Caenorhabditis elegans: one gene and its partner. The protein of the gene in region 2 interacts with the protein of the main gene of each other region in a pairwise test. Each region holds a gene or a part of one and is shown on either strand. Other genes may lie near its edges.

Evidence for each region.
Region 1: the proteins of C13G5.2 (region 2) and ubxn-1 interact in a two-hybrid assay, tested with the Caenorhabditis elegans proteins (one large-scale study listed by BioGRID).

Annotation. Positions count from the first base shown.
Region 1 is NC_003279.8:2,430,534-2,437,565, forward strand, and holds ubxn-1 (UBX domain-containing protein 1), read left to right. Parts: upstream 1-3,468; 5' UTR 3,469-3,477; coding exon 3,478-3,689; intron 3,690-3,746; coding exon 3,747-4,019; intron 4,020-4,071; coding exon 4,072-4,318; intron 4,319-4,359; coding exon 4,360-4,483; intron 4,484-4,998; coding exon 4,999-5,042; 3' UTR 5,043-5,158; downstream 5,159-7,032. Other genes in the region: F23C8.8 (Protein kinase domain-containing protein), read right to left, coding at 882-1,186, 1,264-1,580, 2,002-2,048; tipn-1 (Protein TIPIN homolog), read right to left, coding at 2,177-2,364, 2,421-2,682, 2,726-2,830, 2,879-2,946, 2,998-3,076; F23C8.14 (Lon proteolytic domain-containing protein), read right to left, coding at 6,017-6,151, 6,459-6,551. UniProt on the Caenorhabditis elegans protein: Ubiquitin-binding protein which acts as an adapter for ATPase cdc-48.1 and/or cdc-48.2, conferring substrate specificity.
Region 2 is NC_003281.10:8,614,928-8,621,619, forward strand, and holds C13G5.2 (uncharacterized protein), read right to left. Parts: upstream 3,536-6,692; 5' UTR 3,512-3,535; coding exon 3,467-3,511; intron 3,422-3,466; coding exon 3,329-3,421; intron 3,078-3,328; coding exon 2,985-3,077; intron 2,932-2,984; coding exon 2,866-2,931; intron 2,822-2,865; coding exon 2,356-2,821; intron 2,307-2,355; coding exon 2,091-2,306; intron 2,018-2,090; coding exon 1,941-2,017; 3' UTR 1,847-1,940; downstream 1-1,846. Other genes in the region: C06E1.11 (uncharacterized protein), read right to left, coding at 522-910, 968-1,283.

The DNA.
Region 1 (7,032 bases), on a different chromosome or scaffold from region 2:
AGAAATCAACATGCTTAATATTTCGTCAGTTGACAGTTTTTTGATAACTGCAATGAAATCCGAGATATGAGCTTTCAAAGTTGAGAGACCTCACTCGGTTGATGCACCATGTCTTTGACAGTCAATATCTCGGTTTATTTTGTAGCTATCAAAAAATTTTCAACTACAAATCTATAGAAAATTAAATGTTCAACATTTTCTCAGTTGACAGTTTTTTGATAACTGCAATGACATCCGAGATATGAGCTTTCAAAGTTGAGAGACCTCACTCGGTTGATGCACCATGTCTTTGACAGTCAATATCTCGGTTTATTTTGTAGCTATCAAAAAATTTTCAACTACAAATCTATAGAAAATTAAATGTTCAACATTTTCTCAGTTGACAGTTTTTTGATAACTGCAATGACATCCGAGATATAAGCTTTCAAAGTTGAGTAAACCCATTTTGTAGATGCACCATGAGGCTAAATCACTTTTGACCGCCCATATCTCGGTGAATTTTATAGCTATCAAAAACTTATAAATTACAAAACTATAGAAAATCATATGCGCAATATTTTAATATTTTGCTAGTTGACGGGTTTTTGATAACTGCAAAGAAAATTGAGAAATGAGCTTTCAAAGTTGAGTGTGCTACTTGTTATCGATGCACCATGTGCTTCACTATACTTTGGAATTCCATATCTCCGTTCATTTTGTAGTTATAAAAAAATTTTCAACTACAAAATTATAGAAAATTGTATGCTTATTATTCTGTCAGTTGACAATTTTTTAATAACTGCAAAGAAAATCGAGATATGAGCGTCCAAAGTTGAACTCATTATCGATGCAACACGTCTTGTAAACAAACTGCCAAGGCGAAGATGTACAACCCAACGCACCGGCCATTTTCCAGTGACCATCGTAAAAAGCACTATTCCACAAGCATAATAGTCCGCCGCGTAGGCTTCATAAGGCCGATATTTTGTGATTTGCGGGCATGTGTAGGGCTGAGTTCCACAGAATGATCGAGACCGTTCACGTCGTTCAATGTGTCTTGCAAATCCGAAATCGATGAGCTTAATATCCCCATTTCCGTCGATTAGAATATTTTCCAATTTCACATCTCGATGTACTATTCCTCTTTTGTGAAGATAATTGATCGCTTCGATGAGTTGACGGAATAGTGTGGCTGCTAATGGGTGCTCTGGAATAAAATGTTTCAACGTGGCCGAGATTATGCAAAGAGACAGCCAGCGAGCACGTGTTTCACCACACCCTCACCTTTCAAACGTTTCTTCTGGAGAATCCACTCGAGAAGTGTGCCACGTTCATAGTAATCCGAAATAATCACGAATTTCGTCGGCGCTGGTCGTGTGATCGCCAGGCACCGCGCAATATGTGGATGTCGAACCTTCATGGTGATCTCCAATTCGCGCGGGAAGAATTTCTCCGCCACGTTTGCCGGAATCGATTTTCGATCCACGATTTTCACAATCACTTCTCGACGATAAAGCTGCGAATCCACTTTGAAGACAACCGAGTGAGCGGTGGTGGCAATTGGACGAGGTGAGAATGTTCCAGACACGCTTAGTCCAATTCTACAGAAATTCAAAGGTTTTTAGTCTCAAACTAGGCCTGTAAAGTTTTTCTGAGGGAGCAGAAAGCCCATGCGCCTTTAGGCGATTACTGTGTCTTTTGCAATCAATTTCACAATCAGATTTTCTAATTAAATTTCGATTCTCTTTCGAAAAATAACAGGAAACCCGGAAAAATTGCGAAATAATCTGAAAAAGACCGTACTTTCTTAAAGGCGCACTCCTCATTTCACTCAAAGGTCCTGGCACGATTGTTACTTTTTAAAGCGAGCCGTGCGCTTTTAAAGGGGTACGGTGGAAATTTTTGCCGATTTCGCAATTTTTCCTGATTTTTCTTCCGCGGAATTCCAATATTTTGAGAATATTCGTTGGAAAAACGGCGAAAATCAAGAAAAACTCGAATTTTTGACCTCCAGAAACTCACATCGGAATCAACTTTTCTGTAGACGGAGAGAGTGTTGGCGTTGACATGTCATAACAATAAGGAATGTAGTTTTATTCGATAAAAAAAAGGTCTCACGCTTTGGAAAATTCGAGAACAAAGAAAAGTTCATAAAAATATAAAATACACGTGAAATTAAAAAAAATTAATTGCTCTATCACCAATCGTTATTCATATCACCGAAATCTTCCATAAGAGCATCTTCGTCAGCAGCTTCCTTGGCTTCCTGTTCCTCTCGCAGCCGCTCTTCCTCCATCATTCGATACTCTTCCTCGACATTTTCATCAATTTCAGCGGTTTTTTGGTCGGATTTTTCAGAATTTTTAGCTTTTTCAGTCGTGACTTCTGAAATTGAAAGATTTTTTGATTTTCTAATAACAAGTTTGGATAAATTTTGCAACCTTTCTCTGGTAAATCCTTGAATAAATCATCGTCATTATCACTCGCTCCATCATCAATAATTCCATTCTTTTGATTCTCCTGCTCCTCGTGCTCAGAATCCTCGCCAGTCTCTCCAAGCCGGTGCTTGATCATGAAAACTTTAACCTGCCGCCGTGTTCCCAGTGTCTCGACTCGATTCAGAACATCTTCGGTTTTCATCTTCGGAAACATCAAATGTCCCCAGTATGCGTATTTTTTCATCAATTTCTCCAGATTTGCGTACTGAAAAGGGAAAATTATTGTATTTTTTAACTTTCAAATTTACCGGATCATCCTTGGGATTTGGCTTGAAATCTTTTAAAGTCTCCCGAAGAGCTGAAATTCCTTTCGGCCCGGTCAAAATTCGCTCATTCAGTGCTAGGCGTGGATTCTAAAGTTTGAAAAAATTTAAATAAATCATAGAAAATAAGCGTTTTACTGCTAGTCTTTTAGTCCTTAACAATTTCGGCTCCACGACTCGTCTAGTGCCTCCCTCGCCGCTGTTATCTGAACAAAACTTTAATTAAAACCCGATTTCTCACACGAAATTCTAGATACCTTCGATTGCTTCGTCTCCCATAGGGCTTGGCTCTCGATCCAATTCATCATTTTCGAAGAAATCTTCCATTTCGTCCATTTTTCTGGAAAAAAAGTTGATTTTCGATCGAAATTTCTAGGTTTTCGTGCAGAAAACGAAAAAAAATGCAAAAATCTTAGCGTTTAAAAAACTATTTTCAAACAACGCGCCGACAAAATCGGCTGAATCGCGTCGAGACCCGATCGATTAAATGCGTGCGCCTTTAAAGAAAGTCAGCATTCTCTTTGTGTTCTTGGCTAGAAAAAGTGTTCCAGTCCATTTATTATCTGAATTTTCTGATTTAAACGCATTTCTTAAGGTTTTTTATTAATTAAACCACTTTATTGTTAATATATCACTGTTTTGAACAGCTTATTTCGTAAAAAATCCCAAAATTCTTCTGGAAAATGAGAAAAAATCTAGTTTTTCGCCAAATTGTCGCATTTCTTTCCAGAATAACAATGTCGATCGCCCAACAACTCATGGATATGGGCTTCCCAGCCGACAAAGCCGAGGCCGCCGCCGGAAACAACAGAAATCTCGATCAGGCGTTGGATTGGATTGAGAAGGACGGAGCCGGTGTACCAATGGAGACAGATGCTCCAGCTCAAGCTGCTCCAGGAGCCGCTGACAGTGGTGCACCCCCGGTAGCCGCCAGTTTTAAGTGTGATGAGTGAGTTTTTCCCCCCTACGATTCTTATTAATTATTTCTCCAAATTTTTTTTTCCAGCTGCGGAAAGCTTCTCGCCAACGATGATGCTATCATGTTCCACGCTTCGAAGACAAAGCACGAGAATTTCAGCGAAAGCTCGGAAGCTATCAAGCCTCTCACTGCAGAGGAAAAGGCCGCAAAAGTCCTGGAAATCCGAGAAAAAATCAAAGTCCATCAGGCCAAAAAGGCAAAGCTCGAGGCCGAAGAGAATCGTGAGAAGGAGAAAAAGCGTCGTGAGGATGGAAAAGCCATGATCAGCCATAAAGAAGCCGCCAGAGATCGTGAAATTCGGTTAGAAAACTGTTTTCCATTGAATTTAAATAATAATATTCCCAATTTGCAGAGAAGCCGCTCAAGATCGTCGCCGCGAAAAGAACGAAGACGAAATCGCCAGAAAACGAGTTCTCGAGCAAATCCGGCTTGACAAGGAAGCCCGTAAGGCAAAAGCTTCAGGCCAACCGGTTCCAGAGGCAAAGCCTGCTCCGTCTGCAGCTCCAGTTGCTCCGCCAAAAGACTACTCAACTACAACTCTTCAATTCCGACTTCTCGATGGACAAACTGTTAGACAACAGTTTGAAGCTAATGAGCCGGTAATTTAAATATTCTCGACTCCCTTGAATTAATTTTTCAGCTCGCAATGGTCCGCGCCTGGGTCGAAACTAATCACGCAAACGGTGTTCCGTTCACCCTGATGACCCCATTCCCCCGCAAAGTGTTCACCGAGGATGATATGGGAACACCGCTCAAAGTTCTCAGTGAGTTTTGCTCAAAAAGGCCGGATTTCATGATGAAACTTGGAAATTTTCGAAAAAAAAAGTGGACGATTTTCAGCTATTTCGCCAACTTTTCCTGTTCACAGCTGCCGGAAATTTATTTTTATTCGATTTTTGTCCTTCTTCAGCAAAAAGACTCAATTTAACTGAAGAATCTGAAAAAGTGCTCAAAAATGGCCTAGAAGTCACGAATTGTCAATTGTAAGGCAATTTTTGAGCACTTTCGAATTTTTCAGTTAAATTAAGTATTATTTTCAGAAAAATCAACTGATTTTCTATATTTTGACACTAATTTTTAAATATTGGAGCAGTATGGTGCAATTTGACTTTAAATGTGCCTAAATCAACGAAAAAAACGCTAAAATATATAGATTTCTGCTGTAATTGGGCCATTTTTTCGAAAAAAATAAATAAAAATTTGAAAAGTTTCGTTATGAATTTTGGTTTTTTGAGACCAAAAAAATGTTCATTCTCTAATTTTTTTTTAAAATTTTCAGATTTGGTACCATCCGCCAACGTCATTCTCAACCGTGCCGCCTGAATCTTCAAAACTAAATTCCCACAATTTACTGCTAATTTTCTCTCCCCCCTCTCCCGAATGCTGGTATCACTTGTAAACTAAACATGTATATTGAGCATGTATAAAAATTTTCCGATAAACTTTTTTCCCCTCCATATATCTCGAGGCTCTTCATCTCCTCGTGATCTTCGAATTCCCGTCAGTTTTGCTCTCCGAGCTCTTGCCACAGATTTCTGACAAGCTGCAGGACAATCATATCTCCAGAGTGATTGGAAGCATTAGAACCTGGAAGATATTGGAATAAAAACCTGCGTACTGCACAACATATTTGACGCGCAAAATATCTCGCAGCGAAAACTGCAGTAATTCTTTAAATGATTACTGTAGGTCGATTTACGGGCTCAGATTTTCTTTTCGATTTAATTTAAGAGGCCCCACCAAAACGGAATGCAACTCAAAACAGGATACAGGGGCGGAGCCTATTTCGCAACCACCGCATGCTTTTTCCGCAAGCCTCGCACGTTTTTTCTCTTTAAAAAATGCAACAACATCAAGGAAAAAACGTGCGAGGCTTGCGGGAAAAGCATGCGCGGTTGTTGCGAAATAGGCTCCGCCCTTGCATCCTGTTTTGGTGAATCCTGTTTTGAGTTGCATTCTGTTTTGGTGGGGCCTCTAATTTAATATTCTATCGAGAAATACACGAGCCCGTAAATCGACACAAGAGCGCTACAGTAGTCATTTAAAGAATTACTGTAGTTTTCGCTTCGAGATATAATTAAATTCCAAACTTGTTGTTATTTTTCAATGATACAGTAGAAAGTTGCGAGGAAATATTTCGCACTATAAGTCCAGCCATTCTCGTTTTTCCATCAGGTTTTCCTTAATTTTTTCAACAACAAAAGTACAAAAACACAAAAATTCAAAATTCAAGTTTATTGAAATTTCTAGCAGTTCTGATTCTCTCTAGCTAATTTCTTGATCACTTCGATAGCTTCTTAAAATGTGCCAACCCCAAAAACTCTGGCTGGATCTCGCAAATCTGATGGCAGTTCATCCATGTTTCCCGTTGGCATGATAACTCTCAGATTTCTTGCAAATGCTGCACGCGTTCTTACCACGATATTGCCAACCTGAAAATATGCTCGGGTTGTACTAGTTTTTCAAACACATGAATGAAAATCTGTACTATTTAAAAGTGTTCTAAACTTCTAGCTACGAAATTAAAAACAAAAAGTTGAAGAAACACAGACACCTCGAGACCCAAAGTGGAGGGAAGAAACGGTTTGTATCGATTTACAATTTTTTACTCTTCCCCCGACCTGCCTCTTGGGTCCCGGGATGTCTATCTCTCTACAATTGACTACACTCTCTGTATGGGCAATAGTGGAGAAAAGCGTTTTCATAATTTTTAACGCCCTTCATTTTTTTAAAATGTACTTCTTTAAGGCTACTTCTGAAAGAAATCGGAAAAATATTCAAATAGTCGATTTCCGAGAAATAATGAGAGACGTAGAAATGCATAGTGTGCATGTGTGAGAGATCGTTGCAAACGAAGAGGTAGAAGATTTTTCTGCTGTCATTTCAGGGTTGCGTGCATAATTATCACTCAAATGTAGGAATGAGGTGAATAAAAAAGGTCAAAATTCGTAATTTTTTTCGCTGCATATCAATTTTTTCAAATTTTAGAAACTCGTGTTATCAAGAATAATTTTTCATTCAGAAGTACATATGGTATAATCTCTTGCAAACTCCTAAAAAAAAGTTTGTTTGGTTTTCTTGAAACCAAAAAAATAAAATAAATAAAAACGAAAAAAGTTGTTGCACTGAAATTCTGTCACAAGAAAAATTTAACCGGAAGTTGTTGTCTGATTTTGTGGGTTAAGATCTACGACTGTGGTGAGTTTCATAACATTTAGCCTGGTAGTTTTTTGTTACAACACCTTTTTTTTGGTAGGTATTTGTTGGTTTTCGAAAGACCCAGCCCAGGGCCTGATTAGGGTAGACCGAGCTC
Region 2 (6,692 bases):
ACAATCCCTCCAACAATAGTTCCAATTCCTGGACAAATTGCAGTTCCAATTGCAGCACCTTAAAATATTCAGCTTCTTCAAAATTTCAGATTTAAATGGAAAGAACACCTGCAAGTGCTCCACCAAATCCAATACCGTACGTGGCTACTGTAGTGGTCACTTTCTTAACAGTATTCCTACTTGTCCCTCTCCTTTTATCTTTTTCCACGTTTTTCCCAATTTGATAAGCATCGTATTCAACTGCAGCAACTTGTAAAACTGGAGCAGCTTGCGCGATCGTTGTGAGACCCTCTCCGCCAATTGTTCCAGCTGTTTGAGCTCCAGCTGATGATATGTGAACTGCTGCACCAGCTGGATCTTGAGTTAACTAAATTGTTTCTGTGAGCATTGTTAATAATTGTTCCATACCATGTTCCCTTCATCTTCTTTCTTTTTCTTTTTTCTCTTTTTATTTCTCTCATTTGAATTTTCATCTGCACTTCTTGCCATTTCAATTTGAGTGTTTGTTTTCTAGAAATAATTTATTTATGATTCAAAATCTTGTTGAGACACGCGAAAATGTGAAGATAATAATAACAAAGGTAAGAATTAAATGCATAATTTGAAGTTTGAGATGGACTTTGAATCTTTTCCGCCAAAATTGCACATAATTTGGTAGCAGCGTCGTTGCTCAGAACAATTTGAAGTTGGCAGCTACAAACTCCTTGTGCTTCTTCGTACTTCTTCCAATCATAATCTTTTCCACATTCTTTACAGGTTAACGTTGTGACATCATATTTCACGTGAGTTAGAATTTGTTCTGAAGCTGTCTCGGCAACATGTCCACCGAATAATCCCCCGGCAATTCCACCAATGATTCCTCCGAAAATCGTTCCAATACCAGGAAAGATTGCCGATCCGATGGAACTTCCTGTAATAAAGTTTTTGTAAAAAATTCTACTGAATCTTTTAAAATTACAACACTTACCGGCCAATGCTGCAGCAGATGCACTTGCATAAGTTGTCGCCGTGGTTGCCACTGTTTTTATAGTATTTCGTGTGGTTCCGTGATGATAATCCTTCTTAACCTCTTTTCCAACTTGATACATTTCGTAAATCACAGCGGCAGTCGTCAAAATTGGAGCAATTTTATTTGCTTTCTCAGCAACATCTCCAAGAACTCCAGCAGTTTTGGCAGTGGAGAGATAGGAAGATGTGGATCCTTGAGTCCAGTAACTGCCTTGTTGATGTTGATGTGATGGAAATCCACTTTTCCATGAGGGCGATCGAATCTGATCCACCATTTCGGATTTCCGCGAGAAGATATTTTAGTTTTGTCGAAAATGTTCAAAATATTTGATTTTCTACCCGAGGTTTTAATCAAATATTTGACCGCATTTCTTCTTATTGCAGTGACGCCTCCTTTTATTCCATATTCAGTCGGATTATTCAGAAAATTTGAGTATTCAATTTTAACAAAGAAAAAAAGGTATATGTTCAACTTTTATAATTCTTCTTAAAAAAAGATTCCTTTTTAGAAAAGGAGATTTTAAAACTCACCGATTTACCACTTTGATCATTTGTTGTGGGTTTCCCTTTATTGTCGTTTGAACTACTCATATTTCTGGAAAATGTAAATTTAGCAAAAATAATGTGCACAAAATTGAAAAGTGTTCGCAGACCGAAAATCGAAAGTTGCTATTTTATTTAGGCTGAGCTAATAGACGTTGTCCAAAAGGATTACACACTATTGTTTCTCACATTTCGTCGTCTCCGTTCTTCAGATCGCCGATAATTATCGATTATTCTCTCACGTGTAAATATTTTCAGGAAATATTTGGCACACCACACTATTAATGAAATGTCAATTTAAACTAAATTTCAAACAATTTATTAGCTTATGGGTGCCAAAGTGAAAATGTGAAGATAATAAGAATAAGAGTGAAAATCGAATATCGGAATTAAAAATCATGATTTGTTTCGAGCTTTTTGAACCAATAATCCACGGAATCCTGCCTCTTGTTGTTGAATCTTGTACCTGAAAAAGTACCAACTTATGATTTTCGAAAATGCGTTTTCCATTAAAATTGTTTTATCAGAATAGCACTCACAACAGGTTCCTTCAATCTCTTGATACTTTTTCCATGTGTATTCTTCATCACATCCATCACAAACGAACGTTACAACGTCCCATTTAACATGATTCAACGCATTTTCTGTTGCCACGTGACTGTAGTGACCACCAAAATGTCCACCAACAATTCCTCCGACGACAGCCCCGAAAATCGTTCCTAATCCGGGAAAAATTGATGTTCCAATCACACTTCCTGTAAAAAAACAATTAAATGAAAATAAAAACCGAGTAGAAATAAATACCAGCATAAGCTCCAATGGATCCACTGGAATAAGTTCCACTCGTCGCAGCCAATGTTTTGATTGTATTTCTTGTCGTCCCATGATTCATATCCTTGTGGACTTCTTGTCCAACTCGGTAGGCTTCGTAGATCATTGCCGCTGTCGTGAGCAGTGGCGCGACATCATTTGCTTTTTCTGCAACTTTTCCAAGCACTCCAATAGTTTTGGCAGTAGTCGGTGTGAGTGGAATATGAGGATCCTTCAGTCCAGTCACTGCTTTGTTGATGTTAATGTGATGGAAATCAACATTTCCATGAGGTCGGTCGAATCGGATCCACCATCTCGGATTTCCAAGGCTCGATTTGTTCGTTTTGTCGAAGATGTTTAGAATATTTGATGACCGTCCGACTGTACTGATCACGTAGTGACTCGCATTTCTACTCAGTGCAGCGATTCCTCCTCTGAAGCCGTGTCCAGAAGGTTCCAGCTGAAAAGACAAAAAAATACTCTTTTCAGAAACAAAAGCGTTACCTCTTCGTTTTCTTCCGATGAGCTATCATACCAGCTTCTTGCATTTTTCGCAGCTTCAGAAATAGCCTACAATAAAAAGTATATGTTTGAAAATTATATTTATTTACAGGGTAACTTACCGATGTTGCCGTTGATGCAGTTTCCGAATTCCAAGCGGAAGTTGCCGCTTCTCCGATCGATTTCGTGGCAGACGTCGAAAAATCCTTCACGGTCTATAAACATTTTTAATGAGAATTTTTGAACAATTTGAATTTCATATTTCGCTTTTTTTTGCAATAAGAAAAAGAAAACAACATTTAAAATCTATTCATTCGTTTTTTAAAATTATATTTCAAAAATAATTTTTTTAATTACTGTAATTACTGGAAAGGCAAATTTCTCTGAGAAATGCCTCAATACGAAAACGCATTTTTGTTATTTCTATTTTCGATTTTTTTTTTCAATGAAAATTGTATATGCTGACCGCTGACGTCGATGCGGCAAACTCCGAGTTCCATGCAGATGTGGTGGCATTATTAATTGATGTAGCGGCAGACGAAGAGAAATTTTTCACGGACTGCAATAATATATTATCGTTAATTGTAATAAAATGAATTATTACCGTCCAATATCCATTAACTTCGGGCTTTTGTTCGTCGGAGCTCATTCTGAAACAAAATTCATTGATGTTGAAAAATAGCTTTTCAAAGAGAGAACCAAATGTGTAAAAATCGATAACAACGAGGGGAGAGACAAAATGAAATTGTGAAAGTTAACATTAGCAAGGTGAGATCGATTCAGGTCGTTTGATGAGGTGCAGATCAACGAATTAAATGCAAAAATAATGTAAAAATTGTTTTAAAAGCTATAATTTTAGAAAATCAGCGAGCAAACAGGAAATCGAAGAGAATAATTGGATTAAAACCCGAAATTTTCTTTAAAATTTTCTACAGTAATCTTAAAGGCGCATATACCAAACTGTTCCGCGTGGCGAGACCCATCCAAAGAAATTCGTCTCCCTCCTTCTTAATTTTGACAAGATTACGGTTTATATTTTCTGAATTAGTATTAAAATGTTAATTCACTTTTAAATGAAATTTGATTTATAAAAAGGCCTTTGAAAGCTTGTTGTTCGTTTGATAAAACAACTTTGAATTGGGATTGATGAATGAAAACTTTAAAAATGAAAAACCAAACGTCCGGTTTTCAAGCCTGAGTTACTGTAGCTTCTTTCTTAAAACATATTAAGCTCCCTGTATGTTTATTTACTTTTACCTTTTCCTCGCCGCTTTCATACTTATCTCGTGAAAATCAAATTGTTGAAAATTCTCAGTCATTCCCCGTCTCCTTTTTCTTATCCGCCTTCATTTTAATTAATTGTGTTGCGGCAAATTGGACTCAACAAATCAGTTGCCTCAATCTGAATGCCCCGTTTGACACAATTAAAATACCTATTTTGGCGGTGCGGTACGTGTGAAGATTCTCTCATTAAAGGGGAAATAACATCCAAATCGCAAGGGAATGTATTCAGATTAATATCTACCGTATCGATCCGGAGAGAGACGAGCATTCTGCATGTTAAAATAATTGAAAGGAAGGTTATGGTGGATGATTGATGAGATGTTTGAAAATGGTGAGATGTTTGACAAGAAGTTGCGCAATGTTTACGTTGAGCTTGTCCATATTATACGTCAAGCCGGATATGACACCCAGAGGATCAGGATTACTGTAGTTATTTATATTTGCAGATTTTATTAGTGTCTCACACGTGGATATATAGCATGGATATTAATTTCAGAAACAAATAATAAAATATGTGTTTTTTTTTTCAAAAACGCATTCAATTTGGGTTTTTTAAAAATTTCAGTCAATCTTTTGGTAAATTGCCAAATTGTCCAAAAATGTAGACTTTTGAGAAGTATCGAGCAATGCTACAGGTTCTAACTACTGGAATTTTCATACAAATATTTGAAACGCAATTTCAGTTAAAAAAAATTATACCACAAGTTTTTGGCCGACTTCCAAAAATTATGATCAGTGAAAATAAACTTAACAAATTTCAAAAAGTTTTACTATGAGATTTGGGTGTTTGAGCAGTTTCGGAGTAGTTTTAAACAATTTCCTTACCAAAGATACACCTTCAAAGGCGCATAAAATGTATTCGAAAGGCCTCGCCACGAGAAAAAAATTCTGATACCGTATTTCTTCTAGTACGCAACTACGTTACTTTGAAAGGATATATCTTGGTTCGTTTAAAAAATATCAATAAATTTTAAACTAAAAAATGTAGAAAAACATATAGCAAGTGTTTTGTTTTGTCAGTTGACCGTTTTTCAATAAAACAAATACCAACTGATATGAGCTGTCAAAGTTGAGCAATGGGGTGCAATTGGTACTTTTTTTTCGAATTTAAGATGCCAAGATAAAGGATAACAACAAGCGCTCGCCATAAAAATTAAAGCTCCAATATAAACTATTTTCGTGGCAAGACCCACACGATTCAGATTGTAAAGTTAATATAATATATCCTCCTGAATCCGAGACCCTTCTCCCTGTAAACTATTCTTCACTTATCCATGCACTTCCAATCTGCAAAATCTCGTCATCTACATCATTGAGAGGATTGTGATGATGAATAACGGTTACGTGTCATCGACCGTTGCATAACCTTTCCTCGCCTACCACTGTCCTCTCATCATCATGATTTTATTACCATAACATTGACTGGTTTATGCTTCATTTACGGCTGGATGCGCGAAATCTGTCTGAGTGAGACAATTGACTGATTTAAGACTGTTTATCAGAGAAGTGTAAAAGAAGGAAAAGATAAGAGAATGATGATATATGTAGGTGAAGAATCTGGATATCTGTTCTAGAAAATCGAGGTTGTTACGGTAGTTTTTCTGTAGGCCGAGATTTTTGTAATATGACTAATCTTCTTCTCGAATATTGAGACTTAAAAAACACAAAGAAAAATTGAATAATAATTAAAATGTTGTTTTTCTTTTAAGTGTTGTTTTTAAATTATAATAATACACTGCAATTGAATAATTCTAAGAAGGCCTTTTTATCAAGCAAGTCAAGATGCACCATGTGGTCTTCCAGATGAGTTACACCAGCCTTGTAGGCAGGCAGGCACGCAAGCATATTTCGATGTAATAATAAGAACGCTATGAAAGATCAATCAATTGTCATAACTGAACCAATCAGAAACATTTGTGTTCTACCGTATCATACCTGTTCTCATCCAATTAATGAAAAGATGCGCCAATTTGTGTATATGACACCCTTCTCCTTTCTATCAAAACTAATTAAGGGGAGGCCGAAAAAGGGGAGAAATGACTTGCCTCAAATGTTGAATATTCTTTCTTCAATTGAAAAATATAATTGAAATTTAAGAGACTCTCCTGATGATCATACAAAAGATCTAATCTTGAAGCGGCCCGTGCGAGGGCTCGACATTGCTGTGTCTCTCAAAAAGGTACGGTATTTCTGTGTTTCACTGTCTTTGAAGTGTTGAAAGGCCCAATTTCAGATGACAATCTTCGTCTTTTCCCCCCTTTTTGCTGTCTTACTGTCTTAATCAATTTGCCGTTTTTTTTTGTTTGGCGAAAGTTTTTACCGCGTTTTCGGTTGATTGGAGGTAGAAAGTTATTATTGAATTTCAGTTCTTCAGGATGACAAAATTGGGTTACGGTAGTTGAGATTACTATATGCACCTTATGATTTGCAGTGTTAGCAAGAGTTATAAGAAAAAGTGCTCAAAGTTGAACTTTAGATTAAATATTCAGTTTTGAACTTCACACATTTTCACAGTTGGAGGGACACCTTTCTGCTGTACTTTGATA